Struthio camelus: one gene and its partners. The protein of the gene in region 1 binds, or shares a complex with, the protein of each later gene. Links are inferred from orthologs where the notes say so. Each region holds a gene or a part of one and is shown on either strand. Other genes may lie near its edges.

Region 1 (10,047 bases):
TCTCTATTCCCCGCCCCCAAGCCCTATAAACATACAAACACAGTTTAAGAACTGATGGTAGATTTTCATAGTACCATATTTCTCATTTATTACACTTATTTGGAGCAGTATAATAATTATTAATTCTGATGCTTACAGCTCATAGATGATATTTGTGTATATATGTGCTTATGTAATGGCGGCAGTTCATTGCTCAGCAATAAAATTTCAGACTCTTTGGTAATACGAGCAGACATCTTTGCACTGGATACGCTTGCAATAGAAATATTATTTGCAACTGTAATTACTAGCACAAGGGGATTTCTGTTCGCTGTAGTTGCAGCTTCAGAGACTTTGTGATCCTCCCTTCCCTCTGGGACTTACACCTGCAGATAGGGAGACGTGTGCCTACAATTTGGGGAATACCATAAAACAGCTGACATATAAAATTCAGTGCTATCTCTGAATAATGCATACAAGCTTATTACAATGTAAACTCAAATGCATCCATTATGGGCTGAATAAATTCAAATGCTGGCCAGGAGATTCAGGAACCCCCTTAGGCTCAAGACCCAAGTAATCAAGAGATGCCAGGAACGTCTCTTGTAAAATATCAAATCCACGGAACAAGAGTGACATAGAGTAGCAGGCAAAAAGAAAGGTAGAGGGGGGATTTGCCTTCTTTGCTATTGTTGGAATGCACAATGTTATGTATAAAACACAACACAAAAGAATACACACACACAAACACAGAAATGGAATTATATTATAGAAAATACATAAAGATCTGCGTTTGTCTCTCAACAGATTTTACCCTAAGGAGGAACTGCAGGGCGGAGACTAAGAAACATTTCTGAGCTAAACTAAAGGTGTGCCCCAATCCCTTTTAGAAAAGAATGTAATAGCGTAAAGTAGCTAATGTATTTATCAAGATAGTAATTTATATGATTCCCATTTCCCATTGTTCATACAGCACAGCAGAGTAAGAAAGTACACTGACATGAAATTTCCTATCTTTTAAATAGCTAATTGGTTTTACAGAATAACAGGAAATGGCTTTTATGGTAAGTACACATTAAAGGCATTGTTACACAAAGTAGCTTTCTGCATAATGATCTAATGTGCACTGAATAAGACTGAAAATCAGCTCAGTGCCTAAAGACAGTTATTCCATCTATTTCTTCTTGGCATTCTGAAAAATATACTATTAGTATCTTTGAAGTATTTTGTATTCCTCAAAAGTAAGATGTTGTAAGAATGCAAAACATTACTATTATCATCTATGAGAGATTTCCAATCTTTCTGATGCACTGTTTTTCATACAGTTTCTTCATGAAATGTCACCTTTTATTGTATGGCTCCAGGCATGATTATGAAACGGCAAGTACCACAGCTCTCACAAAGACTGGGTCATTTGGTTTCAAACCTATTTCTTACTGCAGTTCCCTGTAAGATTGAAGTTTAAACTTCACCTTTTTGTCAAGGATGCAACTGGTAAATTTTTTGCAATACCAAGCAGCTTTGCAAATTAAAGAGAAACAAACAAGCCGTACATGTGAATGAACTATAATACAGTACTTAGTAGTTCTCAGATTACTGTGAAAAAACTAAACTTAAATCAACTTTCATGCTGAGATAATTATTCTCCAAAGTTCTCTTGTTTAAATTCTGTCCATCCCTCCTGTCTAGCTAGCTGGGGCATCTTATTTATCAAAATGACTCAAAATTTGTTTTCTTTCCATTATCCTAGTTCTACAGTTTCTACTCAACATCAAGCGGTAGTAATTAAAAATTAATGAGCAGTCACTGTTTTGCTAGTATATCCGCAGAGCCTTTTGCTCATACACGGTCTAGTTGCGATACAAGCCCAGACCCACCAACTGCCTTAGTGACTCAAATTTAACTCCCTCTCACTCTTCCACGCTACTGAAGAAACTAACTCCTGATCCAGTAAGCAAAAATGGCGTGTAAACTGATTTGCAGTATTTTTCATTAAACTTCTACAAATACTCACTCATTCTAAACCTTAACACGCGTACGTACTACAGAAAACTTGGATATTTGCTCGACCGTTTTCTACAACTACAACTTTATTTCAGATGATATTCTGCAACTTTCCAGAACTTAACCTAACAGAAAGAAGTGCAGTTTTAAACCCACTACTTACAGAGAACCACAGTAGTATCTGTGACTATTGTACAGGCTGTGTAAGCATAATTTTGTGACTTTTATAGCAGATTTTTGACACGAAGGTTTAAAAAAAAAAAACAGTGGGTTATATTACTTAAATAATTGTCTTGTATATGGAGAAGTGCAGAATATAAAATCCCAGAAAAATTCAGCCATGCAAAAAAAATTAAATAGGACTTAAGATCACCAAGTTTCACATCCCATAAAATACGGACTAAATACAGTAATTTCAGTCACATCAGAGTCATATCCATAAATTATATATTGGCTACAATACTTTTGGCTTCAGGCTACGTAGAATCTATCATGTCCATTGGGGATTTGTTTTCAGTGATTAGCTGGTCTTAAAACACGCATCTTCTTCCTGCCTCGAATTCATCTAGCTCATCTCCCAGCTAGGGAACCTATTATGGCTTTTCTTGATGGATTAAAGAGGTTTTCCTTTACGAACACCCTTTTCCACTTGTAGTTGCATAATTATACGAAAAAACAAAGTTGGAAGGGATCTCCTAAAAGCATCTAGTCCTTGCTATAGCCCAAGGCAGCATCAGCTACACTGATATAATTCCTAGAGATATTCGATACAGCAGATGGTGATTCCAAAACCTCCATACGGAACGTGTTCCAGTGCTTCACCATCCTGACTGCCAGAAAGGTTTTTCTAGTGCCTCATTTGAATTTCCTGAACTGTAATTTCAGCCCATTACTTCTTGTCTCATTCATCATGGACACGAAGGAGTTTATTCCATTTTTCTTTTTATTTATTTGAAAATAGCTATCATGTTTCCTCTCTTCTTCTGTAGAAAAAATCCATCTGGATTTTTCATCGTCATTCATACTTTTCAGGCCTCAAATCATTCTTATCGCATATTTCTGAATCCTTTTAACATTTTTTGGAAGCCTGTGAAAGTCAAACCTTACAAAGCAGGACTGGAACAGAAGACAGAAGAAGCAGGGAAATGCTATCGGACTCTTGAGTCTACCAGTACAGAGGAAATATTATCTTTATATTCTTACCTATTACAATGATTATTCACCCAATAAGCATTTCTATTCCTTGCACTTTCATCCTACTTTTCTCCTGGTGTCAACCTCCTGGCTTAACCCCTTGACCCTATTCAATTCTCCCTGCTTCCATTTTGGCTCAACCTTCTTTTGCTCACACTGGTGTTTTCAGAAGCTCACAATTTAGCCAGAGATGATTTTCATGGAAATTGAAAAGTCACCTCTGGACTCATATATCAAAACATAGTTTCCCTAATATCAAAAACCTCACTCAATACCCAAAGGAGGAACCCAAAATGGAAGCTTGCATGTGGAAGAGTCAATTTTGTCACAGTTAAACAAGTGAACAGAGGGTCTCACAACAAAAAGCAAAGAGCTAACCTAACAAATTAGATCATCTTATCACTTTCCTAAAATGAGACAAACGTGATGAAATGCTGAAAGTTTTACTGCTTAACAAAGAAAATCTTACTTACCGTATTTTTTGCATAATCTTACCCTTATAACTTAATGACTCTGGGTTAGTTTAGGCTTGCTAAACATACTCTCATAAAGCATAGAACCTTATCATAATTCATATCTTCAGCAGCCTTCAGTAAAAAAGAGGCAAATATGACAGTCCTTGGCCTAGACGATCTTCAGAGGTCCCTTGCAACCTCAATGACTGTCTGATATAAAGAGATCACTAGATCTTTTTCTACTTCAACTTAATGAATTGATGATCTGAAAGAATTAAGAAGCACTGTATTATATATATATAAACAGCAATGACTATCCATGAATAGCCAGCTCTTAAACATGCAAAAAATTTAAAAAATCCCATAATAACGTAAAGAAATAAAAGGTCCTCAGTCCATAAGTAAATTCAACTTTAAACCAAACATACAAAAAATGAACACTACCCTTGCAGACGCAACATGATGAGATGAATTTTATCAAATGAATAACTCATTAGTGATTATGGATTATGAAACGATGACTAGGATTTATGAATGAAATTATTACTCCAGTTTATCAAGGAATATCACAAAAATCATAAACACAAACATTTCACTATCTTTCAAAGACAGTAAGAGATGACTTTGAGGTATGCACAAAACTTGTGCAATTAGAAGAAATCTTCAGCGTTTTAATGGACTAACACATACTGAAATGTAGCGAGGCACTTTGCTCAATATTTACTTAAGCAGAAGACTTCACACTGCCACATTTTTCTCCAGCCCAGAATATGATAAGATAACATATTCTATGCATGACAGCATCTGAGACTCTTTGATAATTACTGCTGGCCAGAAGCCAATACACAACTGAGCTCTTCTCAGAAAAAGGTTTAATTTTATCTTAGAAAAAATGAAATAAATTAAACACAGTTTCATACTTGACTTATGAGGTGCCTCAAATCATATGCTTCCCACGACCATAATAAGGACAAAATAGTAGAAATGCTAGAGTTAAGAAAGCTTTGGTCAAGGAAGATCTCCTTCAAGAATCATACCCTCCACCTGCAGCTGTGATGAGATCCTGCTGCACTCAGCAATGCTAGAAGACACGATCTGTATCAAAATACACAAAGTTTATCTCTGTAGCAGAACTGAAGCAGCTACTGAGTCTTCCACATATGGCTGCAACCAGTATTGATCAAGAACATGAACCAACACCCTTTCTTCCTTACCCCTTTACTGATTATTTGCTCTGCCAGTAAAAATCCTTCTTTTTCACTAATTATCTGCTCATCCCACCCATCTCCTCTTCTAACCACCTTCACTGCTTTGCAGTTCTGCTGTAAGAACCAGCACCGTAAAGATGTCTTCCACCAAGGCAGTCCGCCACACACCACTTCACATAGCTATCGCCCACAAGATGAGAGCTCCTCAGGTGTCGGGGCGGGACGTCCACCCCGAAGCATGAGGCCGGCCCGGTCCCCCCCGAGCTGCCTTCTCTCACAGGGCGCGGTGTGGCCCAGCACCTGCTGGCCTCACGGAGGAGGGAAGGATGCGGCCCGAGGGGACGTGAGGGGGGATGGCCGTCCGTCTGACAAAACAACGCGCACCCGCTCTGCTCCCGAGGCGGCTCGCTATCAGCGCTATCCTCTTTTTGTAACACGTGAGGCGGCCGTGACAGGACAGCCTCACACAAGGGCTCGGGCTGCATCTCCCTTGCAGCGTTTGCCCCGCGCGGCAGGCGGTCGCCGTCGCAACCCGCAGCCCTCGGCCCGCGCACGACATGGCGGAGCCTCCATCCCGCGCCTCCATCCCGCGCCTCGCCCCGCCCCCCTCAGGCCCCGCCCCTCAGGCCCCGCCCCCTCGGGCAGCTCCCCTAGCAACGCCGCGGCCAGCCACACCTCCCCATCCCGCTACGCGGCTACAGGGAGGGAAAGGGGCGGGACTTCCGGCGCGGCTCACCCTCCTCGGAAATGACATCAGAGTGTCAACATGCAAGATGGCGGCGCATCATCGGCAGAACACGGCGGGGCGGCGGAAAGTGCAGGTGAGGGCGCGGCCCGGCCGGGCCGGGGGGCTGCGGGCGGGGGTAGAGGCGGCGCGGCTGCGGCCCGGCCCGGGGGGGTGGGGCGGGGTAGGGCGGAGCAGAGCGGAGCGGGGAGGGCCAGCGGGCGGCGGCGGCGGCGGCGGGGGGGGGTCAGGGAGAGGCCGGAGGGCGCGGGCCCGCCCCGAGGTGGGGGGGGGGGAGGCGCCGCCGCCGCCGGCCCGCGGGGCTGGGCCCTGACTGCCATCGGGGGCGGGGGGAGAGGGAATAGGGCGGTTTCCATGGCAACGCAGCCGCCTTTTTCTCTTTCCCAACACCCCCGAGGCCCCCCGCCCTCTCCCGCCGGCGGTGCGGGCCGCCTGGCACCGCCGCGGCCCTTGGAGCGCCCCGCGGTCGCTAACGCCCGCGCAGGGGCGGGCTGGAGCGCGGCTTGCGGCTGAGCTGGGTCAGGCGGGGCTGAAGCATCCCACCCCTCTCCCCTTTCCGGCTCCCACTAAGCCTTCCCTAAAGGAAGACCGTGGGCAAGTCAGTCCAGTGGATGGAAACTTTCTTAATGCACCTGAGACGTGATCAGGCTTTGCAGTGTGGCTCGTAGGGCAGGTGTCTATGTAGGTACGAGTATTCCGAGTAACCTTGCTGGAGTTTGGGAGTGCTGAAATACCTACAGAAAGTAAAGATTCTCTTTAACGTTGAAGTGGTTAAAACGGTTTTATTATGATCCTTAACTTTTTTTTTTTTTTCTCCGTACTACCAGCTCCTTAAATATTTTTGCAGTTTTAAATGCGGTAAAGATTTAATGTTTTATCACTGTGTAAAGCTGCCTACCTCTAGTGGCAAGTTCAAGTCTCAACTCTGTCTAGCCACTATGACCAAAAGAAATAGTGATTAATTCTGAAATAGTATCCGGATCCTTCCAAAGGTGGGTTCGGTTTTTGAATGCATCTTTTGTATTTTGCTGCGGAGAGGAAATGTAATATTTTCTAGAGCCTTTAGTGGTTTTCCGCAGTTAAGGTAAGCACTTGGCCTGTACTGTATTAGATAAGGAATTCTCTTACTCTTCCAAAAAAACCCTCTGGCAATGTCTAAAAGGCAAAGAATCGGAAATATAATATCCCTTTATTGACTTCATTACCTGTGTCATATGCAAGTTCTTGCAGGTTTTTCTCATAAGGAGAAGATATTTATGATAACTAGGTGGTTTTTTTTTGGTGTAATCCTATTTCTTTAGGAATTCTTATTTTAAAAAAGGAGAATTTTCTCCAGAACCTTTAAGGATAGGGGAAAAGACTTTCAGAAGAGTGCCTTTTGGGCATAGAGGAACTTCATTCATAACCTGACATGAGAGCTGGTTAAAGTTTACTGAAATCTGAACTATTATCTTAGATGCATCCATTTTACTGGTAAGCAACCAAAACAGTCGGTTTAAGGCACTTCTGTGTATCTAACTGTATGTGTTTGAGGGCTAAATCAGAGTAGACATTTTAAGCCTCAAAATAGATTCTGTACATAAATAAAGGTAAGAAATTTAAATGTAGATCAGGCACTTAAAATGTCGACTGGAATGCTGTTTGCATTTCTTAAGCTTAACTATGCATATATGAAGGCTGCAATAGTAAGGCTGCCTGAGCTGGGGAAGGAATGGGGATATAGTGGTGTGGGAGTAGCAGGAGCTATCTGGTGAGAAAGGGCTGGCCATGTGCTATGACTTTCAGATGTATTACTGTGGATTAAGTCAAGATGAATCCACTTTTCAGCAGATGGCTTAAAGTAGCTTTTTTTGAGTGACTGCATTGTAACTGTTCTCCCAAACCTGCTGCCTGGTCTGTATGACGCCCTCCACCCTCAAATCCCTTTGGCCCAAAGGGTGAATTTCACCATAAGTGATTTCGATCAGTATCTTGATTACGAATTTACTGAATCAATTTTAAGTACTTTTTATCATGCACTAAAATATGCTGTACATAATAAGAAAACACTTTTGCACTGAGTTTCTATCATGTTTCTGCACCAGTACTGTATCATGACAGCAACTGGAAACTAGTGAAACAAAAAAGCTCCCTTACATTTAGAAAATATTTCAGCTACTAATTTTCTTGAATAGTAGCCTGTATTAAAAGCATGCTAGAATTTAAATATATTAAATGCCATAATATATTAGTTTTTTTGTTTTTGTAATACCTAATCAAAAGAATAGGAAGTCAATTGACTCACTGAAAAATTCATCTTATTCACAATAGCTTCTATTACTTTTATTCTAGGGTCTGGAACTCCTGATAATTCAAATACAGACCTCTCCTTAGTTAACAACTTATTCTAAGGTGTATCATCTGCTCTACAAAGATGCTAAAGAAATAGCTTGCTTTTTCTTGATTTCTTCTTCTCTCTTTTTTTTTAATGAAATTGATGCCAAATGTTGTGGAATCCTTCCAGTAATTTTGAAAAATACCATTTTTTTACAATTATCTATGGTAGCACTTGTGTCTATGAAAATTTTCTCTGCTTAGGAAGAAGAAATGCACACTGTCAGATTTTGGCTGTTCACCTTATCCTCCACCGTGATGGTGTGCTGATATTTTTAAAGCAGATTCGAGACATGGAGATTCTGCCCATCAGTTAGGATAGTGTCTGTTGTAAGAGATGTAATCTCACATGGGTAGCAAAATTTCAGATTAGCTGATATACTTGTTGTCCATAAAGGAGAAACATCATAGGTCCTTCAAGAACTTCATTTGACTTGGTACGCTGAAATTTCTGTTGACTGTAGATTTAGCTCTTGGCGCTCCAAAATAGTCATTAAAATGATTAGTCTTGAACCGTTTAGGGTACTGAACTCCATAAAATCTTTATAATGAAGGCCATCACTTTGTAATGTTTGTGCAGCATCTACTGTAGTGAAACATTCTTATTCATTAGGGGATTTTGTAAAAGCTACTGCAGTATAAAAGTAGAAGGCCTTGGTCATTATGAAAATGTTTCATCTCCCACAAACCTTGCCCCGCTCAGACCATTGTGGCAATTACACCACTAGATCTTTATCATAGTCATTATCGTCTCTGTGGTTTAAAACTGATTGTGAACCGACCCAATGAACAAAGTAATAATGTGCACTTAGGCTCCCCTATTTGCAGTGTTTGTCAGGGGGTGCTTACAGATACAACTTCCTGCTGACCTTCATAGTCCTCTCTACATATATTACAGTACCTCATCTGGAGTGATAGAAGTGTGTATGACATGGGTTAGAGTTGAAGTTTATTGCGCAGTTTGTCCTCAGCTGAAAACCTATTTCATTTATGTTATTTACACACACATATGTGTGTGTTTTATATAAGCATATGTACATACACTATATATGTAAATGCATATATATGTTATGCATAATAAATAGCATACACAATTGCATATGTAAGCATATAAAGTATGTATGTATTCAAACATGTGTATGTGTGTATACTAATACACTTTTATATGCTTTTTTTAAAATTTGTATAGTAAATATAATGACTAAGGAAATGTTAATGTACTCAATATCACTCATTTTTAAGCAACTTTCAGCCCCCTCCCCCCTCCCCCATAATGGTATGATAGAGAATCACGTGTGGATTATCAGCAACTTTCCTCTGTTCATCTTAGTGACCTTTTCGTTTTTGTCAGCTTGCCTGCTGTCCCCCCCATCTTACACAACCGTCAGGCCTTTAAATCAAGGATGCCGTTTTTCTTACTGATCTATTTGAGGTTCTCTGTGTTAAGATGGGCATTTCAAGCATCATTTCAGCAGATTTCACACAAGCCTTATTTTGTTCCTCTATGGCATGTTAATATATAATTACTGTATTTGAATACAAGCCTGGATGCGTCTGGCATTGCACCTCTGTTTCTAAAAGTTGATTTTTTTTTTTTTTTTCCCAATTGAATGACTTTATGGTTTGCAAATGTGGACCATTTAACACTTTATGTTTTGGATGAAAAAAGAAATGTATTCTATTTTCCATGGAGGTAGCTGACACCTAGTAGGATGTCATTAGGCTCCAGTGGGAGTTGGAAAGTCAATATTTGTGCCATAGTTACCATTTTCCGCTCACATTGTGTTCATGAGAAGTGATTCATCATGCTGAGAACTCTTTTCCTTATCTGACTGCCCTAAAAATAGAAGCAGTGTTCATCTGAAAGGATGATATGGCATCCAGTAAACTTACTGAATGCAAAACCATTGCCTGTCATCTTAATTTTCTCCCCTCTTGTGCTTTCAAGGACCTTTAGTGAAGATAATTATTTAATATTAGAAATAAAGAATTAAATGGAACATTTACCTAATTTGCCTTAGTATCATTTTTTCGTCATAGAAAACTGGTTGTCACCGTTTCTTCCTGTGAGATGCAGAAAACTGTTGTT
Region 2 (10,572 bases), on another chromosome or scaffold:
CATAAGGACCACGAGAAGAGCTGGTAACATGAAAGCCCAATTAATAAAGAGCAAAACTAATTTGAGGAACCTCTGTACTGCACCTTTTTATTCAAAGGACATAAGTGCAACAACTACGAGGTGCAACTGGGAGGTATCTGAGATGATACCTTGTTTCAGAGGAGATCTGTGATCTGAATGTGTTTATAATCTACTATTTATTAAACTGACAAAGCATTTTGAAGTGTAGATCAGATTATTTGAAATACTATTACAGAATTCTGAAAGAGGAAATTTATATATGTTTTCAGCAGAATGCTAAAAGGTATTTAGGAAGAATATGGTCCACCGGGCGTGTTAGCCATCTCTGTAAAAATATATCAGCACATTTTGAAATGCTCACATGTTATACACTGCACGTAACAGTAATATTCCCTAGGCCACAGCTGCAGCACGAGCTTAATTCTGAGCTCAAGGGTGAATCAAGAGCTCATCAACAGAGAAATACATTCCAGAGGATTTCAGTAACCAACGATCTTAAAATTACAGCACGCCTATTCACCTTTGCACCAGCATTCTGTACTTGAGTCATCTGGGTTATCTCATAGAAACAATACCAAAGAGGATTTCAGTGCAAGTACAGGGGCTAAAAACACATCCCTAATTTTCGCCTAGAATCTGCAAGAGTTACATGGCACCACGTGTTGGAATTTCCCTACAACAGTGCTTCTTGAGTGCATCCTATACTTCTTCACATCTACTGTATCATTCCTGATACAGCAGATACAGCTGATGATTGCCTGTCATATACCTCCTGTGGCCAGGGGTGCAGACATAGCCTGTGAACTTCCCCAGTGTCTGAAAGGCAGATTAAGAGCAGCACTTTTGGGAGTCCTCCCTCTTCAGTAAGGGTGGCCAGTGTGCCCATGTCAGAGTCCCACTGGCTCCTTCAGGAAAAGGTGCCTCTCACCTTCCCCAAGCAGAACAAATAGGAGGTCTTTGGTCTCATTTATCAAGTCACTGAATAATAATTAATAGTGCTGTTGTTATAATTAGGAGGACAAAACTAGGAAAAGACAACAAAGGAGTTCTGCTGATTAATTCTAGAAGTTGTGGGTTTGAAGTTTTACCACAAATCATGTGCCAAGTGTAAGGCACATGAGAGGTTTATACCTTATCTCTTTTCTTACTGGCTAACTCTTACTGTGTCAGCCTCAGCATATGAGAGCTTATCTAGTGAATGTATAGTACAAGGCATTTCTTTTGCAAACAAGTTAAAAACTCACCCTTGCTTCACTAAACTGGTTTTGACCCTTCCTGGAAGACACTGAGTCTCTATCACCTTCAGGAGACCAAAATGACAATCACAGGTACTATTAGGTAGACAATTAGGTAGCAAGTACACATCCTACAACACTGACTAGCCAAGTTCTCTTGAGGCAAATTTACCCAGCTAAATTTCATCTAACATTTCCCCTCCAGGACATGAAAACGCTCAGATAAACAAAACAAAAATCATCATCAAGAAGGGACTACCTCTGAAAATATATAACCTATGTTGCATTCAGGGAGGGACAAATACTTATATCAGCACAAAAAACAAACTAACATAAAATCCCCAACCAGGCATCATCCATTTTAGAGGAAAGTGGTTAGGAAAAACAACTCTCTAAACACCGTCAAATGGAAAGGGAAAGCAAAAGGAAAAAGAAGGATTTTTTTTTTTTCATTACTGTGTTCAACCACATTAAAGGACTTAAAAATATGTTATCATGCTGCATTATATAGCAAAACATATTACCTAAGAATTAAGGTCTTTACTATGTAAATAGTTCAGTTCTTCAAGCACTGAGGTATAGTACAGGAACAAGATCTGGGAATTAATACCTTTGTCTGGTAGATTTCTGCAGGTGCCCTAAATCAAACTAGCACTGCAAATATACAGTTTTTATTTATTTATATTGTTTGCTTATATATCTCTAACCTTGCAAAGTCCCATTCTTATGCAATGTTGTCATAACTCCTTCTAGAGTCCTTCGAGTCCAAATCCGCAGGAGCCCCCCACCTCATCTAAATGGACTCATTTATAGAGGAGCCATGATGCAGCGCTACCAATACCTACCTATAACTTTCTGAAAATCTCAGCTTTGCTCTTCCTAAAAGTACTTCCTGTCTCCGTCTCTATTGTTATGTGGAAAAGACTAAATGTGACCAGCATAACACAAAATCTCTAAAAGCAAACTATGCAAAGCCCAAGGAATACGTAGCTTTAGAACCTCATTATTGTTAAACCAGTGTCACCCACTGTCACCAGTACTGATATCATAAGCCAGAATTGCCTTGAGTTTTTCTGCCTGAGATTCTTAATTCTTCCCTTTAGTGTCACCATGCTACTCAGTGTCTCAGATGCTACTTTTCTTTTGCAAGATACACTATTAGTGTCTGAGTGGCACACCATCAAAATCATGTCATTGGTTTTGCTCTGGGTCTGTTCAGGCCTTGGGACAAATATGCTGTACATAAAGTGCATCTCTCTGAAGCATGCAAGAGAGAAATCTTGGAGGTTGTAACACCTTATGCCAATGTTAACGTCTTACAACCATCAAAGAGTCTCCAGCTCCCCTTCATGCAGTGCTCTAGGAAGCGTTTTGCAGAGCATTACACCTACCATTCATCAGCAATAAAAACTGGAGCCTGCCTAAAAGGGAAGGTAAGTGAGTCCAGGTTTTCTCCTCTGTACAGTACTGTTACCTAAAGCCTTTTTTGCAGTATCCTTGGCCCATTGGCTCACAGGACTGAAACCTATCAAGAACAATGAAAAGTTTAGAGAACCGCTTACTGTTAGTGAAGAAAGCTGAGAACCCAGGTTATTTTACCCCAAGGAGTCTGGATTTATTTTTCTTACTGTAAGCGCAAATCCAGCCCTCCCTCTCTGCACGTCAGAGCAGTCGTTTTGAAGGAAGGACTGAGGTATATGTCAGAACTATGTGCAGGATGCTCTAGGCATCTGGGTGGAAACGAAAAAGCAATCCCACTGAAGTGGGAGCCTGCAGACATGGAAGGGGAGGAGGCTGACAGTTCGTGCCCCCCACCCCCAGGCCACTGCTGCTGACCCCGCAGGAGCCAGGCCTCTGGGGCTGTGCGTTGCCTTACCCTAGAGGTAGGCTCCATTCTCCAGGGCAGATGAATGGTATGTGTGGCATCGCCAGCACAGGGCATGCTGGGGCACCACATGGAGGGAAGCTGGCAACTGCATGTAGCTGCTCTTGAAGAACCTGGAAATAAGGGGGAAAAATACAGACTAAAACAACAAAATGCGTGGAAACGGGCTCCTCCTCTGTTTGCACTGGGGTACTTAGCACTCACCCACGCCTAGGACAAATTAGCTACTGTCTCACTGTATTAATAAACCCCTTCGACAGGCATACTTTAAGTTCTCCCTTCCCTCACCAAAAAGTTTTAAAAATCCAAAACCAGTCAGATGCTCCAGGTTTGTAGAGTCGGGATTAAAATTAGACTCAAGCACACAGAAGAAACTGTCCTTTCAACTTCTCCTGGGGATGAAAGTGGCAAAGTCTCAACCTAAACAAAATATTAACATTTCATTATTCCTTCCTAATTGTCTAGTTTATGATTAAAGAAAGCTCAGTGCTTCCAGGGTACTTTACAAACAGCAGGTCCTTTGAGTGGCATGCAGTGCAAAAGAAACCCTGAAGTTAACTCTAAAGCCAAGATTTCCCAGAACAGGTACTTAGCAGCTGGATCCGAAAGCCTACAGTCACGCATCTAAACCAGCGTCCTCATTGTCTGTGTAACCCAGGGAGCTCCTGGCCACATGAGACCACAGGGTGCCTGCCTGGGAGGGTTAACTGGGGCCACTGAGTTAATGAGGATGTGGATTCAGAGCCGAACTTTACGGTTCTCTCGCAACATTTTTCGGGCAGGAGGAGGAAGGGCAGGCTGCGGCTCCGGCTGCAAGGCGTGTGAGCCGGGGCCAGGCCGGGGCCAGGCCGGGGCCAGCCCGCTCCGGACCGCCTGCGCGCCGAGGCTCCGCGCACCGGCCCGGCATCCCCGTCCCTCCCCGCCCCGCTCCTGGCGCTGCTCCGGCAAACTCCTGGGGACACCGCCGCTCCCCGGCGGCGAGCTGCACCCCGGGCTCGTCCCGGCGCAGCCCGCCCGCCTCCCCTGCCACCGGGGCCGGGATGCGGTCGCTTCCTTTGCCCGGCGCCCCTGGAGGGAGCCCCCCGGCCGCCCCTCCGCCGGCCCCAGCAGGGCCTACCCAGGAGGGGCTGCCGTGCCGCCCCCCGCCCCCGGGCCGCCACGCCTGCCCCCAAGCACTCACCATATTACAGATGGAGGCGATGTTTCTGACAGTCATTAGTCTAAAGGTTGCAGCGATCCCACACCGCCATCTTTATAAGGTGAAACCAGCCCCGCTCATGGTGGGAAGAGCGCAGGAAGGGAGAGGGGGCGGCGGAGGAGGCTTCTGCTCCGGGGCTGGGATAAAAGCGAGAGGAGGGGACTGCACAGGCACCCTAGGCGCCCGCAGAGCAGCCTGGAGGAAGGACCTGCCTGCCTCCCCTCCGGCCGAGCGACCGGCAGCTTCAGCAGCGCGGCAAGAGCAGCCGCATCTCTGCTCCTTCCGCCTCTCCCTCTGCACGGTCCGCAGGGCCGCGGGCTCCCGCTGGAGCGCTCAGCCGCGCCTCTGCGCCAGCCGGCACCGCGCTAATCTCTCCCTTCCTCCTCCTCCTCCTCCTCGCCTGGCGGCTGCCGTTGCTGCTCGTCGCTCCATTGCAGCGCAGCGCCCAGCGATCCGCTCTGCCAGCGCCAGCGAAGGGACGGGAAGGGACGGCCGGCGGTGACCGGCCGGGGCGCCCCGCGGGCCCGGCCGCCGCCGCAGCCAATGCGCTGCGGGGAGGAGAGGGGCGCGGGGGCCGCTCCTGCCGCCCCGCACGGCCCGTCGAGGGGCCGGGCCCTGCTGCCGGCGTGCTGCCGCGGGGGCACCGGGGCAACGCTAACCGCCAGGCCTAGAAGGGCCGGGGAACTGCAAAACCCAGATCTCTTTAAATATATGAAATCATATTTGCAAGAAGGAGCAGAAGGCAGGGTCCAGGCAGGAACACATGGATGTTTAAGGGTGGTAGCAGCACTGTACCTTGGGATGTGCTCCCTCCACCTAACTTTAGGTACGCAGGAGCCTGGGCACTTCTAAATCCCAGAACTGAAGGCAGGAATCTAACTTACTGCCTACAGCTGGTGCTTTGCTTTGCGATTTATGCAGACATTTACTTTCACAAATGTTGTTTAGGGAACATGACCCCCCACATCATGATACATACTAGAGCCCAAGTGCTCACTCACAAGCTCACAATGCCTGGAACATATACAACACCCTTAATGCATTAATCTCAGTTCATCTTCAAAACACTCAAGTAAATTGAGGTCCATGCCATTCTGCAAGGTATGAGTATATTAAAACTGCACATGCAATAATCTGCACATGTGGTAAACAAGGATGTTAAATAGCTAACTCTTGTCTTAACAACAAATCTCTGAGAGAAACAAGAACAGAGTTCAGCTAGGACAATGTCTCATCTTGGAATTCCTCTCTGCTTGAGCGGAGATTGTTGTTATCAGCAGAAACTTAAGAACACTGTATTTTCATCTCCTATGCTGAGGAAATCATCCAGATGAAGAGAGAGAAGAACTGCCAACATCTAGGGATCTAGGAGATGGGCATGCCTCCTCCTAACAACACCTGGAAATATGGCATACTCATGCTTGGCTACACTTTTCACCTCACAATGCTAGAATATACACATTTTGGTCTATAGAGCCCGGCCCCACATGTTAATTACAGAAAACATTCCAAAGTCACTAAAGTTTTTGAGACCCTGGATTGCAAGAGAAGGCCTCTGACTGTTAATGAAAATCTATCACCAGCCAGCAACATCTGAAAGATGAATTCTTAGCCCGAGAATACTGTTAGATAGCTGGCCTCAGTCCAGTTCATCATGGACAAGTGCCCACATTACAAAAATGATATCAGTTTGGCATTAGTTGGCATCCTGTTGACAGTTTCAGCAAAGAAACCCAGAACTGAGTTGTTATGGAGACACAACTTTCTTTCCTCAGTAACTGGAAGACAATATGGAGGAACCTGTACTTCTAACACCTCTCTTGAAGATTTGTTGTAGGCAATGGACTGAAGTCATAAGGTCTATTAAACTATTTCACTGCGAAGCATTTGCTCCCTAAATCTACAAATTTGCTACATAAAAGAATTATCAAATAAAGTAACAGTGAGAAAAAAAACCCATCCTTTGTGTTACTCTATTATGCTCATGGTCTTATGCTGCTTATGAATTTGACCCCAAGTGTTTAACCTGCTTAAACTCCAAGGGCTGTTTATGAGTAGTATCACAAGTCTTTTTGAAACAACCAAGAGAAATGGGAATTAAAACAGAGATGTCATTTCAGGACTGGCCACCCCCAGGCTCAATTCTGAAGCAATCAAGGCCTGAATCAGTCTCCAGTGCATTTCAGAACAGCCTATGGAGACAGACAATGCTGCACCATGGCTATTTTTTTAAAAAAATCCCTTTTATTCAGGTAGCCTAATTCTGTATTCTTTGCTGCACCCCATTTATTCCAATTTACTGCAAGGAATCACACTTGTCTCAGTGAAAAAAATTACAAAGCAAATGAATGGTTTTGAAGGGTGATTAAAAACTGAAAAGAAACAAAATGCGGTAACTAATAAAGCCATTTACTTCAAGTATATTCTAATGTGAAGGATATTATTCCCAGAGCATAAAACACAAAGAAAACACAACAAGAAGGAGCATAAAAAAGTTTAAAAAAGGTAAGCAGCATTTTCATGCTTTTGCTTTCTTGCGGATCCCAATTACCTGACTTCAGGATAACTTCAGATGTTTGTTAAACATTTCTGTTAAATTAAACAAATTGCTATTAGTTGAGCAAGTTATTGATTGTCCAAGGAAATGGCCATTGTTGGAAATAGGCATATTTCGAAATATAAAGCATATACATATATATGTACACACACATATATAGATGCATATAGATATACACGCATGCACATATCATCCTCAGAAGATTTCAATGTCATTTTCCTAAAGCTTATATAGAGTCTTTCATTTAAGGGTATACATATTTCATATCTTCTTTTGGAGGATTTATGATAAAAATAGGAAATAATACACAAGTGTTTATATGCCAGTTTAACAATAAGTTTAGCACTGACTTTTTCTGCTCTTCAGTCACAGATCAAACTAGGAAATAGAAAAGTAACTTTCATACTTGAAATGGGTTGGTGTGTGTTTTGTTTTTTTCTGGTGTTGTCATTTTCAGAACTAGAAACTTTATTTCTGTAGCTTTTTGAAGATAAAGTGCTAAGAAAAGCAACTAATGCTAGTTCCTAACATTATAGGAACTGTACAAATAAAGAACAATGAATAATTGTTTCCACTCCAAAGTATTACCCTATCTCTTCATAACAAAGAGCTAACCCTGTGTTTCTTTTCAATGTTAAACAAAGAGGAGGAAAACAAAGAGCTATTTATAACCTAAGAATGCTTATATAATTTCTGTTGAAAGGTCAAAAAATGTCTCCCGCATTTACTTTTAGAAGTAAATCAGTTTTGGTCATCTGGTTATATCCTTTAACACTTTTATTTCACTACATAAAACAAGCACCTATGGTAAATATCCTCTTTGGCTAACCGTGCTTTGGACTTTAATAATGTATTCCCTCTGAAGTTCTGAGAGTACTTTGCAATCATTCACTCAGCCTTGTCAAATTCCTGGGTGGCAAGTTAATATTAGCCTATTTTACAAAACAAGAAAATAAGCAGCAGAAGTGCAGTGACTTGTCCAAAGTTACACAGGAAAGTTAGTAGCAAAACTGGGATTAGAATACATGCTTACTCTGTAATACAAAGAGGGTACTATGCTTCCTCTTCAGAAATCTTAGAGAATTCCACAGAGGATTCATTTACATTTTTATTGTAATAAACTATGGTCCAGAAACAGGTGACCATCAGTAAATTATGCTAAGCAGTGCTTGAAACAGACTCAAATTCAGGATATATTTTCAGGTTTAAAAAAAGCTGAAGTGGCTTTAATGGTAAGAGCAATTAAAACAATACTCAGAAGCTTTTTGGAGGGGGTGGGGGATTTGGAGGATACATAGTAAGAATGGAAAAAGAACTCAAATACCTGAATTACATTATCAGTACTGAAAGTATGCTTACAATTTTAGAAACTTTTAATATTTTGAATATCACATTATTTATGTTCAATAAAAATTATCAGTATGTCTTTGTTAGGATGAAAAATACGCAGATGATGCAAGCAGAAAGACTAAGAACAGATACATAGCATAGAACACTGAGGCTACAATTTCTAAATTTTATTTCAGTTGAGGAGAGGAAACTTTAGCAACACATACTCTTCTTAAAGTGTAGAATTTTTATTTTTGAAACAGAAAGGTATCCGGTATTCCTGCAAACTAATACAATCAAATTATATGCTATATAAATACTGGGCCAAATCTATTTGGCCTTACTCTATCTGCATAACACTATTTCCATTTTCAGTATAGTCCACCATTAATTTCAGCAGAGAAATAGTCCTGAAATCAGCTCTCAGGACCCTGCTCTTAGTTCTCCCAAAGTAATACCAACTCTGATAAGTAGAGACTATTTAAAAGTTAAACAATTGTGCTTTCCTATGGAAAAAGCCAGGAAGCAGAGAAGACAGTAGTAAATCCTGTGCTAATCCCTTTCTGATTTTACCAGTGGATATTTTCCATGAAGCTTGGCCTCCATTGCAGCACTGCAGATTGGGAGCTTTACTACAATGCCAGTTCCCAATTTGTAGTCCATGCAGAGAGGCCATAATACATGGGTTGTAGTAGGTCCATGGAACCCACTGTACTTACATTTAAAAATCTAATGGTAAGAGTGGATTGTAGTCCATGACAAATTGATGGTGATCCACAAAAAAAAAAAAAAACCCACAAACAAACGTGGGGGGTTTACTGGGGACTCCCTAGTCCTCCCAGAAATGTAGAATCACTAATCTTCTTTAGGATGGTATCAGCTTTGCACCAGCATCTACCCCTCTTTTTCAAACGATCTAAAAAGTTATTTTTCTTGATTTAAAACATGTTTATGCTTTTTCTTCACCTTTACAATCTTAGCAAGTCATACTCCCGCTTACTGAATATGAAGCACAGAGGATGAAACTTTGCATTAAATTCATGCCTGTATCTACCCTAGCTTTGTTGATACAGACATTATTCTAGTAGGTGGAGAAAGAATACTGTCTTTTATTTTTCTTCTTCTCAGAAATTGCTATTTTAAAGAAAGAAAACAAAATACAGTTATAGCATCCGACTTTTTTTATAGTTAAATGTCAGATTTGAACACCAAAAGACAGCAGAACAAAGTAGATGTAAATATATTGATGTCTAATACTCCAAAAGCTGGCTGAATAGATAAAAGAGATTAATAGTTTTGTGTTTGTAACCATTAAACAGTTCATTCTATGAACAGGCTCTTTAGGCCTTTACAGGCAATTTGATGTTCAATAATGACCTAGAGGTGTGATTATCTCACAACGTCTTACTCCTGCTTTTTTCCTCCTACTTGATCATGTTTCATAAAATTGCATTCCCGATATAAATTAGGAGCTTTGACAACAACAGCTTAATATTGGGCTACAGCTTCATTGATTTACCTAATACTGACCTTTACTGACACACTGCTCAGCTGAAAATTCTCCCTCATTTCCATAAGGTAGAAGCTTGCAGCCTCTTTATTATCTGGTACCTTGTTTAGCAAGGAAGTTCACTTGTGAATTTTACTGGCATATCTCTTGCCTATACGAAATGTACTTTGGGAAAAATGCTATGTAAGTTCTAATCATTAAGTATCACCTGGGGGGGAGGGGAGGGGGAGACCAAACCTTAGTCATGGAAGTAATTTACCAAAAAAGAAAAGACTCACTGAGCAAAAATAACAGAAAATTTAAGTTTCTTACAGAAATGTATTGCTATTTCTGCCTCTGGAAAGGAAATAACAATTCTGTGTTGCCTTTGCTTTCTCCAGAGTTTTTATTTATCATTTTTGTTCTAGTCTACGGGCTCTAATTTTAAGTAATTTACACTCTGAGAACAAAACACAATGGATATTTTGACAGTAGACAAGCTGCAAGTGGCAGTTGATCTACTGTCAGCATGAATTTAAAATAGTCCTTTCATTTTATGTAAATTGTGGCATAAATTAATTAAATTATATTTTTATTAAATTAGCAGTATTACTCAAAACCTAGCCTTATTTGATGCATAAGTAAAGAAGACCGCTGCAGTGTAAGGTCTCGATCTTGCCAATTATTTAACATGGATGAATACTAACATCCATCTGTAAACACTGACAGTCATCTCACAAAAGTTTACTTGTTTGGTCTTCCTTCGTATCAGTGTGGAGAAAGACAGTGAAATTGAAATAAAGCATTAGTGATAATTGTGAACTTCTTTGTGAACTAAATACATGATGTTTTTAAATA
Region 3 (10,662 bases), on another chromosome or scaffold:
AATACCACATAGTTACTGAAGGATTGTTGCTTTAGCTAGCTGCAAGAAAAAAGTACAACTTAAGGCAAAGCCTTTTTTTTGGCAAGAAAGACGTTCCAAAGAAGAAACAACCAGTGTTGGGAAAACCTGCCGCACGTTAACAAAGAGACAAGGTAGTCAGAATTTAAAATACAGTATACTAAGTTAAACTTACACATTCACATTCATAACATGGCAATGTTAAGTAAAAACTAAGATTGTGTACAGTGCAACACTACTGCTAATATGTACCACTACATATCATGGTCACAGCAGCAAATTAATTTGTCCAGAAGCCTTTTCAATAAGCAGAGAGAATACACCAATTGGTGTATACAAACTTCTTTAAAGCAAAATGCACTAGCTTCCTAGCAGAAAGAGAAACAGATTCATGATAATTTCAGCAGCAATCTAGAAAGCTTCATTTTGTCAGTCAATCCTAAGGCAAGGAAGATGAGATAGCCCTCTCCTTTTCAAGCCTAATGAATCAACTAATAAATCATTTTGCAAAGCTAGCCATAAACCAAGTTTAAGTATGCCAAGACTGTATCATAAGCAAGAATCAAGTTACACCCCTCACTCTTGATTTGGGGCTGCAGGGAAAGGGATACCCCTCCAAAGCATCAATACATTATAGTTTGAGTAATAGTTTCTGAATGATTTCCTCATAACCCCTACTCCACGAATAAACAAACTCCTAAAACAAAGAAAAAAAAAAAAGCTTCCTGTACGACCTAGAACTCTCTTAAGCATGATTAAGTCAACAATCCACAAAGAACAGATCATTCCGAATCTGACTAAAGGCTGAACTGAAGGCTTTAGTCAGGTAAGGCTTCACAAGACAGCCAATTGGATCTGACAGCTCGCCACCACTGAACAGGGCAGTCTTGCTCCCTTTCCCAAACCCTTTCTTTGTACTGACTGTTCCTGCTATATCCAAACCCAAAGTGAGATGGCTAGGCCCACTGTACTGAGAGAAAACCCACCCTGAAAAATGTCAGTATTTACCAGCTGGTTTAGCAAGCTGGACTGGCTCAACCAGAGGGTGAGTAGTGCCAAAGCCAGCAAGAGGGAGATAAGAGCGCGCTGCCAGAAGGATGCTACACTGCAAGACCATCATTTTCAGCTGTCCCTAAATCAGTTAAGTTCATGGAAATTCACCACTTTCATTTAACAAGACATCATTGTACACATCTAGCCTCAAAGTCAAAGCTGAGGAGGACTGAAAGTGAAAGCCAAATAATACTCAGTGCAGTCAGGAATAATTATATATTTTGCATAAGTAAAGCGACCACATCTCATTCCATTACAGTTTAATTTCTCTTTACTTAACTATAGGCTCACTTCCCTTTTCAGTGGATCCAAAACAGAAAGTAGCAGTTTTCTGGAAACCTTCATTGCCTTATTAATAAATAAATAAAAAAAAAAAAAAACTGTGCAAATTTCAATATGAAAAAAACACTGGCTCATAACAGATGTGCTTTCATTGAGGAAGGTAACATAAAACCATGAAATAGTAGAAACTCAGCTTCCTTTTTAAAGATGCAAAGAAGAAATTTGTGTTTTCTCCATAAAGCCTCTAAGGACAGCTCAAAGTGCTGTCCAACCCTCTTCCCTGAACTATCATCATCATATATCAGCATTACAAGTTCTGCACGACTGCTCTGGGAGCTAGACATAACTTTTAATCCAAGTTTCTTGAAAGAAGGATCAAGGTTAAAGAAAGATCCCTGGAAATGGTGATCCTCACATAAGTTTCGTTTCCTAAATAAAACACACACAGCAGTAGTCTAGGTAAAAAGACAATTTACAAAGTAGATATAGCAGATAAAGCATATCTAGTATCCAATGGAAACTAAAAGAATAAAGTTTGGTATCAGTGATTTTAAGGAATAGCCTTTCAAGTAGTATCTTTGACTCAGTATTCAGACCATTTATTCTTAAGCATCATCCATGGCTTAAGCCTGAATCTTACTTGATGTGTACTGACCTGCACTGGATTACCAACGCAAGAATTATCTAGGTACCTAACATACACGGCTCCTTAAAATACAGCCCTCATGACTCTTTCACTCATTTCAGTAAAAGTGTAGAATTTTGTCAGCAAGAAGCGGACCTTAAAAAAAAAAAAAAAAAGAAAGAAAAAAAGCAAGCTACCAGATATATACAATACAGCTTCACTAACATCATCTTGTTCTTTGTGTCATGCAGAGATTCACAGATCAGTCAGTTTTAAATGCCCATCCCCTCCCCAAACAGAAAGGCTTGCAAAGAGTTTGATAGTTTGTCCAGTTTAAGAGAGTGTTATTCACTATCAATTTAGGCAACAGTAGCTCTCTTCTGTTAGGATAGCTACAAAATACGTAACTTCTGATTTTGAAAAGCTCAAATGATCATATCAAAACCTTGTTCTCATGTCAATTTTCTACATAGACAAAACAATGACTTCCAACTGAATAATTTCAAAATAAGTTCCTAAGGAACAAGTATTACAAGTTTAAGATAGACCATCTTTCCCATTCTCAGTTAAATTATTTACATTAAGCATGTTTTAATCTATTTCAGCTGTTTCTCTAGGTTCATTGTACTAAAGTGAATGTTATATATATATAGGATATACACTATTTTTTAAAATGGTAATACTGTAAAAGCTTATTGAAACAAAATCTGTTCTGGATGAGTATGTTTTACACTAATCAGAGAGAAAAAAATAAAGTATTTAATGTTGTAACAGGTATGCCTCAAAGCTCACAAGTTAACAGTTTGACAAACCAAAATTTTCAGTTACTGTGTACCGCAACACACAAAAACAGCTTTTAGTATCTAGAGAAAAGTATTAGAAAAATACTTTGAGCTTAGCCTTTTAATTTGAAAAAGTTATTCCCTATTTTCAATGTACTTCCAGGATTTAGATTTTTATTCTTTGCAGTGCAGTAAAAGATGACTAAGACAACTGGTAAGAAACACATGTAAAATTACTACACTACATGAAGACCTGCTCTGCAATATAGATTAGAGAAGTCTGCAGCTACTTGTATGGAAAAATGAATCCAAACATGGCAATAATTTAAGAGACGGATTTTTAGAGATAAGTGCCACCCACAATATCTTGCAAGCATTAAAGATAGCAACTGCATGTTTGATACAAAACACTCATCAGGTACTTAAAGAAATCTTTGTTTAAATATTATTTACAACATAAGTAGATTGTTAAAATCCATTAAAGCGTGAAACCAAAATCTGTAGGCATTTTTTTCATACAATTACATAGGACAGATCTGTCAAGTCATAGTCAACAGATACCCAGGCAGCTTTTATCTCCAGTTAGCGCTTACATTTTATATAGGTGGAGGAGTGATGTGGGCACTAGCTTAAGTCTTTGTAGATTCAGGTATAATTCTTTGCTCGCCTACAAGCTTCCTGCGTGACCTTGGGTACGTCACTAGTTCTCTGTGCCTTCATTCCCTGTTGCTTGGTGGGCTACAAGCAGGAAGACTCCAAGGTACTCACATTATGGCTGCTGAGTCTCAAATACGTAAGGTAACGAACATCCACTTTTCAAAGCAGAAAACAGAAAACTGACAATCACGACATCTATGTTTACATATATTGAGTGACGTGCATTCACACAGCATGACAAACTCTGAACGCCCCACTAAATCCCATGAGGCCAAGGACCCTAATAAACAACAGGCAGAACAAGTTTGTTTATAAATACAGTGAACTGAGACATCAAAAACACACGCTGTTAGCCGTGCATCAAATATTAACATTTAAGGAGGATCTCTTAGGTTGAATCAACATTTCTTTCCTATAATAACAGCTTTCTCTGTGTTAACTATTTGACATGTAGCTCATTGCACTGCCCCCATTTAGAGACAATCCTAGAAACAGTCCACACTTCAAAGCCACAATAAAGGCCTAAAATTAAAGTGAAAGCTGTAACTACTTGGTTAAGGCTAGGAAGATATGCTCTCCCACCATCCTGGAAGCAGGGATCTGACATCACCATAACCATGCCAAGCATTAGTGTCCAGCAACCTCACACCTGAAGCAGCAGGTGAAAGAGGCCCCGAGTTGCCTCACTATTGGAAAGCCAGCCCTCACCCCTGTACGCCAAGGAGGGGCCAAGCAATCACATCCCTTAGAAGGGCCCCCCACACACCTACCGCTGGTGACAACCGTATTTTGACGTAGCCCTTCAGCACTAAGCCAGCGCCAGTCCACCTCGCACAGCCCTCCAGGCCAGGCCTACGCTCCCCCTCCTCGAACCGCTACCCTACGAACCAGCTGATCGGGAGAGCAGCTAAAGCGGCAGCTACAGCCGAGCCCCAACCGAGGAGCTGCCAGCCCCAAGGCGAGGCCCCGGGGGGCCCGAAGGAGAAGCGGCCCCGCGGGGCGGCCCCAGCCCCCCGCCGCCCCCCGCTGGCACCCGGCGAGCCCTCGGCGGGGGGGGCGGCCCGCCGCGGAGCTCCCCCCCAGCCCCTCTCCTCGCCCGGCGGCCGAGCCCCGGTACCTTGCGGACCCCCTTGTAGATGTAGAAGTACAGCTCCCGGCCCACATTGAAGCAGAGCCGGTCACCGTTGCCGCTCTGGTCGTTGACGTTGACGAAGGAAACGCGGACCGGGTTGGAGCCCTGCGAGTTGAAGGGCACCCGGTTAGGCCGGCTGTACTCCGAGTGGCTCAGCAGCTTGTACAGCCCCTCCCGGGTGGTGAACTGGGTCTTAATCTCGTTCATCTCCTTCCCTCCTCCCTCCGCCGCCATCTTGGAAAGGAGCATTCATCCTGCCCCAGTGCCCGGATGTAGCTCCACTGCGCAACCGCAACCGTCGCCGCCGCCGCCGCCGCCGGGGCTCGCGCGGCCCTACGCGGAGGCGGCCACGCAAACGGCGTAAAGGGGCGGAGCGGCGCTGCCTGTTTACTGCCCGTCTGCGCATGCGCCAGGTGGCCGGCCCTTGGGTGGGCGCTGGCGGCGAGGGGCGGAGCCTCGGGCGTGGGGTGGGGGCGGGGCGCGTGCCGGGCGGGGCGGAGCGGAGGCTGCGGAGGGGGCGGCTCAAGATGGCGGGGGGCGGCGGGGTTGCGCCTGGCGGGTGCGGGGCGGGGGTTGTACCTGACAGAAATTCGTCGCCTCAGGGCCGGAGCGCCTGTCCCTGACAGCGCGCGAGGCGCGATGGTAACCACCCCCGCCGCCTGAGGCGCCGAAGCTGGATTTCGGTGTGCGCCGAGCAGTGGTTTTTTGCAGGGTTACGATAACGGCTGTGCGCGTTTGAGCCTTTTCCCCGGGTGGTCACAGAAATGGAAATGGGGTGCCAGCTCCTTGGCTTTCTGTACTGAGCTACTGTTTTGTTGTGGCCCAGGCCAGCTTTGCCCGCAGGTTGTCACTGGCGTGTCCTCGAGGTGCCAAACTGCTGGCTCAGGTGGGGTTTCTAAGGCTGGCTGGGAGAGTCCCGCGGGGTAGCAAGCCTGTTGAAGGGGTAACAAATACAACATGCCGTTCACGTTGCAAGTCAGGCCAGCACTGCTCCTAAAGGAAGCAGTACCAGCATCCCTCCAGCTCGGCACTGGTCTCTGCTTAAGCTGATGGCTGCATGCAGAGCCAGGCTGGGGAGTTGGCCCAGCTGAACATTAACCTGCAAAACTGGTTGTCCCGTAATGTACTTCATTGTTCTGATCGTCATCCAGCTGGCTGTGTTGCATGGTGAACCAGATCAATGCCCCTTTGCCCCTTACAGGCACAAGGGAGGAAGTTGCACGGGGTCGGAAGGGATTGTTTCACTGGGTAGGGAGGAAAGACTTTCTTTCGGCGGCAGCAGTTTCGGTTTAAAGAGGTTGTCGTAACTACAGCCTCGTGGCTTGAAATTATGGCTGACTTAAGCTAATCTAAGACTGATCTCCCACTATAAAAAGGGGTTTTGATCTCTGTCTTCAGCTGCATATTTTTACTACCTCTCTTGCATCAGTTCTAGCAATCGTGCAACCAAAGGTTGAGTCAGAGCAGCTTGAAAGCAGACCCCACAAAAAGAAATGGCAGGTTCTCAGACAAGGAAACTGCTGATCAGCAACTGAGCTCATCCAACTCATCCCAGAACTGGTAAAGCCAAAATAAGGGAGGAGTTAGGAATGTGCAACTGGGAGAAGCTAAGCAGCACAGAGTTAGATCACCTAAAAGTAAAAATAAAAAATGCACTTTAAAGGTATAGTTTCATATTGTAACTGAGTTGGTCTAATGTGGCTGCTACCAAAGGAGGTGTCCTGCTCTCTTCATTCCTGACTGTGATTATCTGCTGCTGCTACTTCCTTCACAAGCAGTGGTGCTCATCTGACCTCATGGGGAGCCATTTCAGAAAGATAAATGGGCAGAGAGTTAACCCCTCCTCTAAATGTGAAATGAATGGTATCAGATGAAAAACAGTAACTGTGTAGGGGAGGGGGCAGGAATGTGTGGCAGAGCAGGAGGGAAGCAGGACCTCTACCTCCCTTGCTATCCATTAGATCAGCTCAACTACAGAAGTCCACTCAGACCCCAGGGGGCAAAAGGGATTTAGTCTCAAATCAATTTAGTTAAAAATGATTTCGTTTGTGGCTAAATACCATCTTGCTGCTGAGCATCAAAATATTATTACAACGTAACTGAGACACATGAAAGAGCTGAAGACCTCCAGGCTAACTCATAGAGTAGATATCCGAGTGAACAACTGAACAGGTACAGATAACCTTTAAAAAGATCGGGTGTTGGAGCCTTGCTTGGAATTTGTGAGATAAATCCAATCAATAATGACCAATAGATCTTGTCAGCTTATCAGCCAGCCCTGCCAGATGGTACTGATGACCTCCTAAAAGCACATAAAGTAGGTGAGTAGAACTGTGGTTATTTTAGGAATCATCATCTTGAGAGTCATTCTTTCATGCAGAAATGTCATGTACAGACTTCCAAAGAGAAGAAGATCAGAATGTTTTCAGTCATCACAAGAAAAGCAGGAAATGCAAGGATCTCTAAATAATAATAATATTCAAAGCAGACAGGAATTTAACCAAGAATGTTAATTGTTGCTCCAAGCTGGCAGACTTGGCATGTCTTATTCATTACACAGTGATAACATTGGCAAGGTCACTATGAAAAACAAAGTAGGCAACTTTGGTAGAAGGATTGCGTGGAATGCAAATCTTACTGAAAGCACAGCAGGCCATCTGTCACTGATGGAATGAGTGTGATCCAAAGAATAAACAACGTTAACACGTACCTGGTTATCAGCAGTACATGATGGTGCAGAAAGTCAAAGACCTGATGTAGTGTTTAACATTTACCAAGAAACATCAATAAAAGCTGCTGAGAGATTCCACAGAGAATCCAAGACAAATATTCATTTCAAAAACACAGCTGCAAGTCACAAGAACACTATTGTACAGCCCCATCAACAGTCCTTATCAAATACTTGGTTAAGGAATGGGAAAAAAGAGATTACACAGTTAAGCCTCATGAAAAAGTTCTCTGTGCCACTGTAAATTCTTCTGTTTCAAGCTAACTAAAGATCATAGTTCTGAAATAGTCCCATGAGGATGCCCATAGATGTGTTATTTTGTAGGCACTACACAATCAATACATCAAAAGTCAGTCAGAATCACTACTGAATCCTTTCTTTACTTCTCCCAAATGTTTTGGCAAGTTGGAAAACAGACATGAGCAAAATTGAGTAGCATTCATAAAATAGTGTGATCCTCTGAGATCAATTTATGTAGAATATAATTTGGTCCTGCAATTTTTCAGGATGCAGCATTAATAAGGCTTTTGCTGGCAGCAGAAAATTGGAGCCTTAAGACTTATGCAATGTGAGTACAATTATCAACAAAACTTTTCTGTGCTTGAATTTGCGAGCCATCTGTTACTTCCCTAAAAGTGCAACAACTGATACCAGTGAACGCTTTTATCAACGCTTCTGAGCCAAAGAAAAGGACGATGACTACACCCATATTCTATCATGCAAAAAAATGTCTATTCTAATATGCACTGCTTGCAGAGGCAGGCAATCAGGAGACCATCTCTGCAATGTCTATCTACTACAGCAGGTCTGTCAAGTCTTGCTTGGACTATTGATGCCAAAAAGAATTTAAATATTTAGTGGGTGACTGACTTCAGAGTATCAAAAGCTCTGCAACATGTCATTTTTTACGGAATCTATGAACGTGCATGAATTACTAGCAGGCACAAGTACACAGAGATCTGCAAGCAGTACATCTGAACGAGTCAAAAGACTGATGTTGGTGAGAAGGACATGCAAGATCCCTTAATGTAATACAGGGAGAAAAAAAAAATTATGATGTTGGAAATATATTTCCTATGACTTACCCGTATGGCTTACCCGCTTTAACAGACATCTAACCTGCTTTCAGCATGAGAAAATATTGTTTATGGTATATTTTTAAACAATATAAATTGTGAGTTCCTTATTTGTATTAAGAATCTTTTCTTAAGCACTGCACACATTTAACACTAAAAACATTGATAATACATTGTGATATATATTACAAAATGAAAGGGTATTTTCTAAGCAATTAAGTCTGTACTAAACTGGAATATCGTGTATATTGTTTTTTCTCTCATCACTCCCCAAGAGGAAAAGCATGTGAAACATTTTGTTTTCATAATTTTGGGTTGTTATTACTTAAAAAAACATATTTTTAAGTACAAACATTTAGATTAGAGAAGGCAAGGTGAAAGAAATATGCTTTGCAGTTGGGAATGGATGAGAGTGAACTCTCTTGTGAATTTGGATGAGTTCATTTTGCTGTTTGCAGTCAATCTCCGTGAACGTTGTCTCCTGCACAGACTAGGTTACCTCTGTAGTGAAGAGTACCATTCTTATCAATAACATCTCTTATCTTGAAGCTTTATATATCCTGGAGATTATGCTCTCTAAAGATAAGACTGAGATTATGAAGTTGATTTAAATCCAGTGGAAAGATTGGTTTTATAGGCCTACAAATAGTTTGTATTTCTAAGAGATGCTACAGCATTCTGTACTTCTCAAAGCTCCCTAACTATGGAAGTCATCATATCCATGCATACGGTATCGCTATAATCCAGCTGAGGAATGACAAAGCTGTGAAGAAGTAAGGTTCTGATTGTTGGCCAGCAGCACTGATCAAGGTTTCGTATGAAACTCAAATTCCTAGATGGCGATGATTGTCAGTGATGCACTGTGAGAGTTTAGCTCCATCAAGAAGGCCAAGAACACTCAGTACGTAAATACTGCAAAATTATTTTCTCTGCTCATCAGAATCACCTCTTTCGTTCAGCTGATTTTTTATTGTGAAAGTCATCTTGGTGATAGTGTTGTGATAATACATGGTTATTGATAGGCATTGAGGCTCAAGCAGCCTGGAGCTGGCATGAGCAACAGTTAGTTAACGGTTAGCTAACCCTGCAAATTAACAAGAAAAGTAGCTGCCGTTGTGTGACTTAAGGCTCCCTAAGCAGAAGATAAGGAAAACTGAAAAAAATGAAAAAAGTGTCCTTGGAAAGATAACGAGTGGACTTTAACAGCCAAGGGAGGAAAAGCCGCCTTTATGGGAAATGATATATAATAAATAATAAATAATAAATAAAGAACTAACAAAGTTGTAAAAGGTGACCAGAGTCAAATGCCTCCGAACATTTTGAACATAAAAGAGATATGTCTACATGGACCTCTTAAGCTTATCCTCAGAGCCTCAGGCTCCCATGGCATCTGGCTAACTGATGGTGAGATCTTTTTAAGGGCAACTATAGATCATATGCTTAGTTTTGCGTAGTTTTATATGATGTATTAAGTAAAGTTTGCTTGTTAGAGGATGAGCTGTGTCCTGGCCACTCAGCTGCCTAGTGCCTAGATTTAGCTCTTTGGCAGCAGCAGAACTGTTGTTCCTCTGTATATTGTGTGCTGGCACTCTAGTTTGTTGTGTGAAAAAAGACTGGGGAGAGAATTGATTCTTCTAGAAATCCACAAGCAAAGAACATTCGGATAGAGTCGTTTTTTTCTGTTGCTTTGATGTATGTCTCAAAAAAGGACTGGAAACCTGTTATCACATTCCACATTTCCTTATTGCCTTTCTCACCTGAAACAATACTGTCTCAGAATAAACATGTTGTTGCAGAGAGCTTCAGAAGAACGGCTATCTGCTTGCTGTCCAGTCACAGGAGAGGATTCTCCATCAGTGTCACAAGTGTAATTTCAGTTCCATGGCCTGAATGACTGACTCCAAATTGCTTTAGATGAAGCACTGACGTTTTATATAGATTATGTTCAAATCAGCCTTTTCATGAGCTTTTCTATGAGCAGCCTGAAGCACTGGAGCTTTGGTAGCAAAAGCTGCTCATTCAGTGCGAGTTGAATTATTGCAAGTTTAAAGGAAGGAGAGCTCCCTTCTCTGAATTATGCACTGGCTTCATTATTGTCATGGTCAGGTTGCTCATGTCTCTTTTTGCAAGACAAGAAGGGCATAAGTTAAATTACCAAATCTTAGACATCCCTCTGGCATCCAGGACATCTTCCTATCTGGGAGCTGGAAAATTGGTGAATGGATATAAGCTATGTACGGTTCAAGAAAATTTCCCAATGCAATCTTTTAATCAAAGGGGGAGTATTTTTTATGCTACAGATTTTGTAA

The links. The genes of interacting proteins can lie anywhere in the genome.
Region 2: the proteins of WDR48 (region 1) and USP46 are in contact, whole or in part, in a crystal structure (PDB 6JLQ), measured with the Homo sapiens proteins. The link is inferred for Struthio camelus from reciprocal best matches to the Homo sapiens genes WDR48 and USP46. Residues at the interface, in NP_065890.1 of Homo sapiens: Arg50, Trp77, Asp118, Tyr119, Lys121, Leu137, Arg139, Ser170, Tyr172, Thr188, Asp211, Asn212, Lys214, Ser230, Gly254, Trp256, Arg272, Ile364, Leu424, Lys425, Gly521; in NP_073743.2 of Homo sapiens: Arg181, Leu183, Asn184, Cys185, Glu186, Thr187, Cys222, Ser223, Glu224, Lys226, Cys232, Cys233, Ser234, Lys235, Gln236, Glu237, Gln239.
Region 3: the proteins of WDR48 (region 1) and WDR20 are in contact, whole or in part, in a crystal structure (PDB 5K1C), measured with the Homo sapiens proteins. The link is inferred for Struthio camelus from reciprocal best matches to the Homo sapiens genes WDR48 and WDR20. Residues at the interface, in NP_065890.1 of Homo sapiens: Val191, Lys207, Gly208, Gly240, Gln241, Gln242, Arg243, Cys244, Ile245; in NP_653175.2 of Homo sapiens: Arg20, Ser364, Thr384, Glu385, Asp386, Glu524, Pro525, Leu526.

Annotation. Positions count from the first base shown.
Region 1 is NC_090943.1:6,909,911-6,919,957, reverse strand, and holds the start of WDR48 (WD repeat-containing protein 48), read left to right. Parts: upstream 1-5,580; 5' UTR 5,581-5,613; coding exon 5,614-5,661; intron 5,662-10,047. UniProt on the Homo sapiens protein: Regulator of deubiquitinating complexes, which acts as a strong activator of USP1, USP12 and USP46. Enhances the USP1-mediated deubiquitination of FANCD2; USP1 being almost inactive by itself.
Region 2 is NC_090945.1:57,619,464-57,630,035, reverse strand, and holds the start of USP46 (ubiquitin carboxyl-terminal hydrolase 46), read right to left. Parts: upstream 4,900-10,572; 5' UTR 4,358-4,899; coding exon of another isoform or gene 4,322-4,357; intron 3,255-4,321; 5' UTR 3,214-3,254; coding exon 3,133-3,213; intron 1-3,132. UniProt on the Homo sapiens protein: Deubiquitinating enzyme that plays a role in behavior, possibly by regulating GABA action. May act by mediating the deubiquitination of GAD1/GAD67.
Region 3 is NC_090946.1:71,325,498-71,336,159, reverse strand, and holds the start of WDR20 (WD repeat-containing protein 20), read right to left. Parts: upstream 4,900-10,662; 5' UTR 4,799-4,899; coding exon 4,535-4,798; intron 1-4,534. UniProt on the Homo sapiens protein: Regulator of deubiquitinating complexes. Activates deubiquitinating activity of complexes containing USP12. Anchors at the base of the ubiquitin-contacting loop of USP12 and remotely modulates the catalytic center of the enzyme.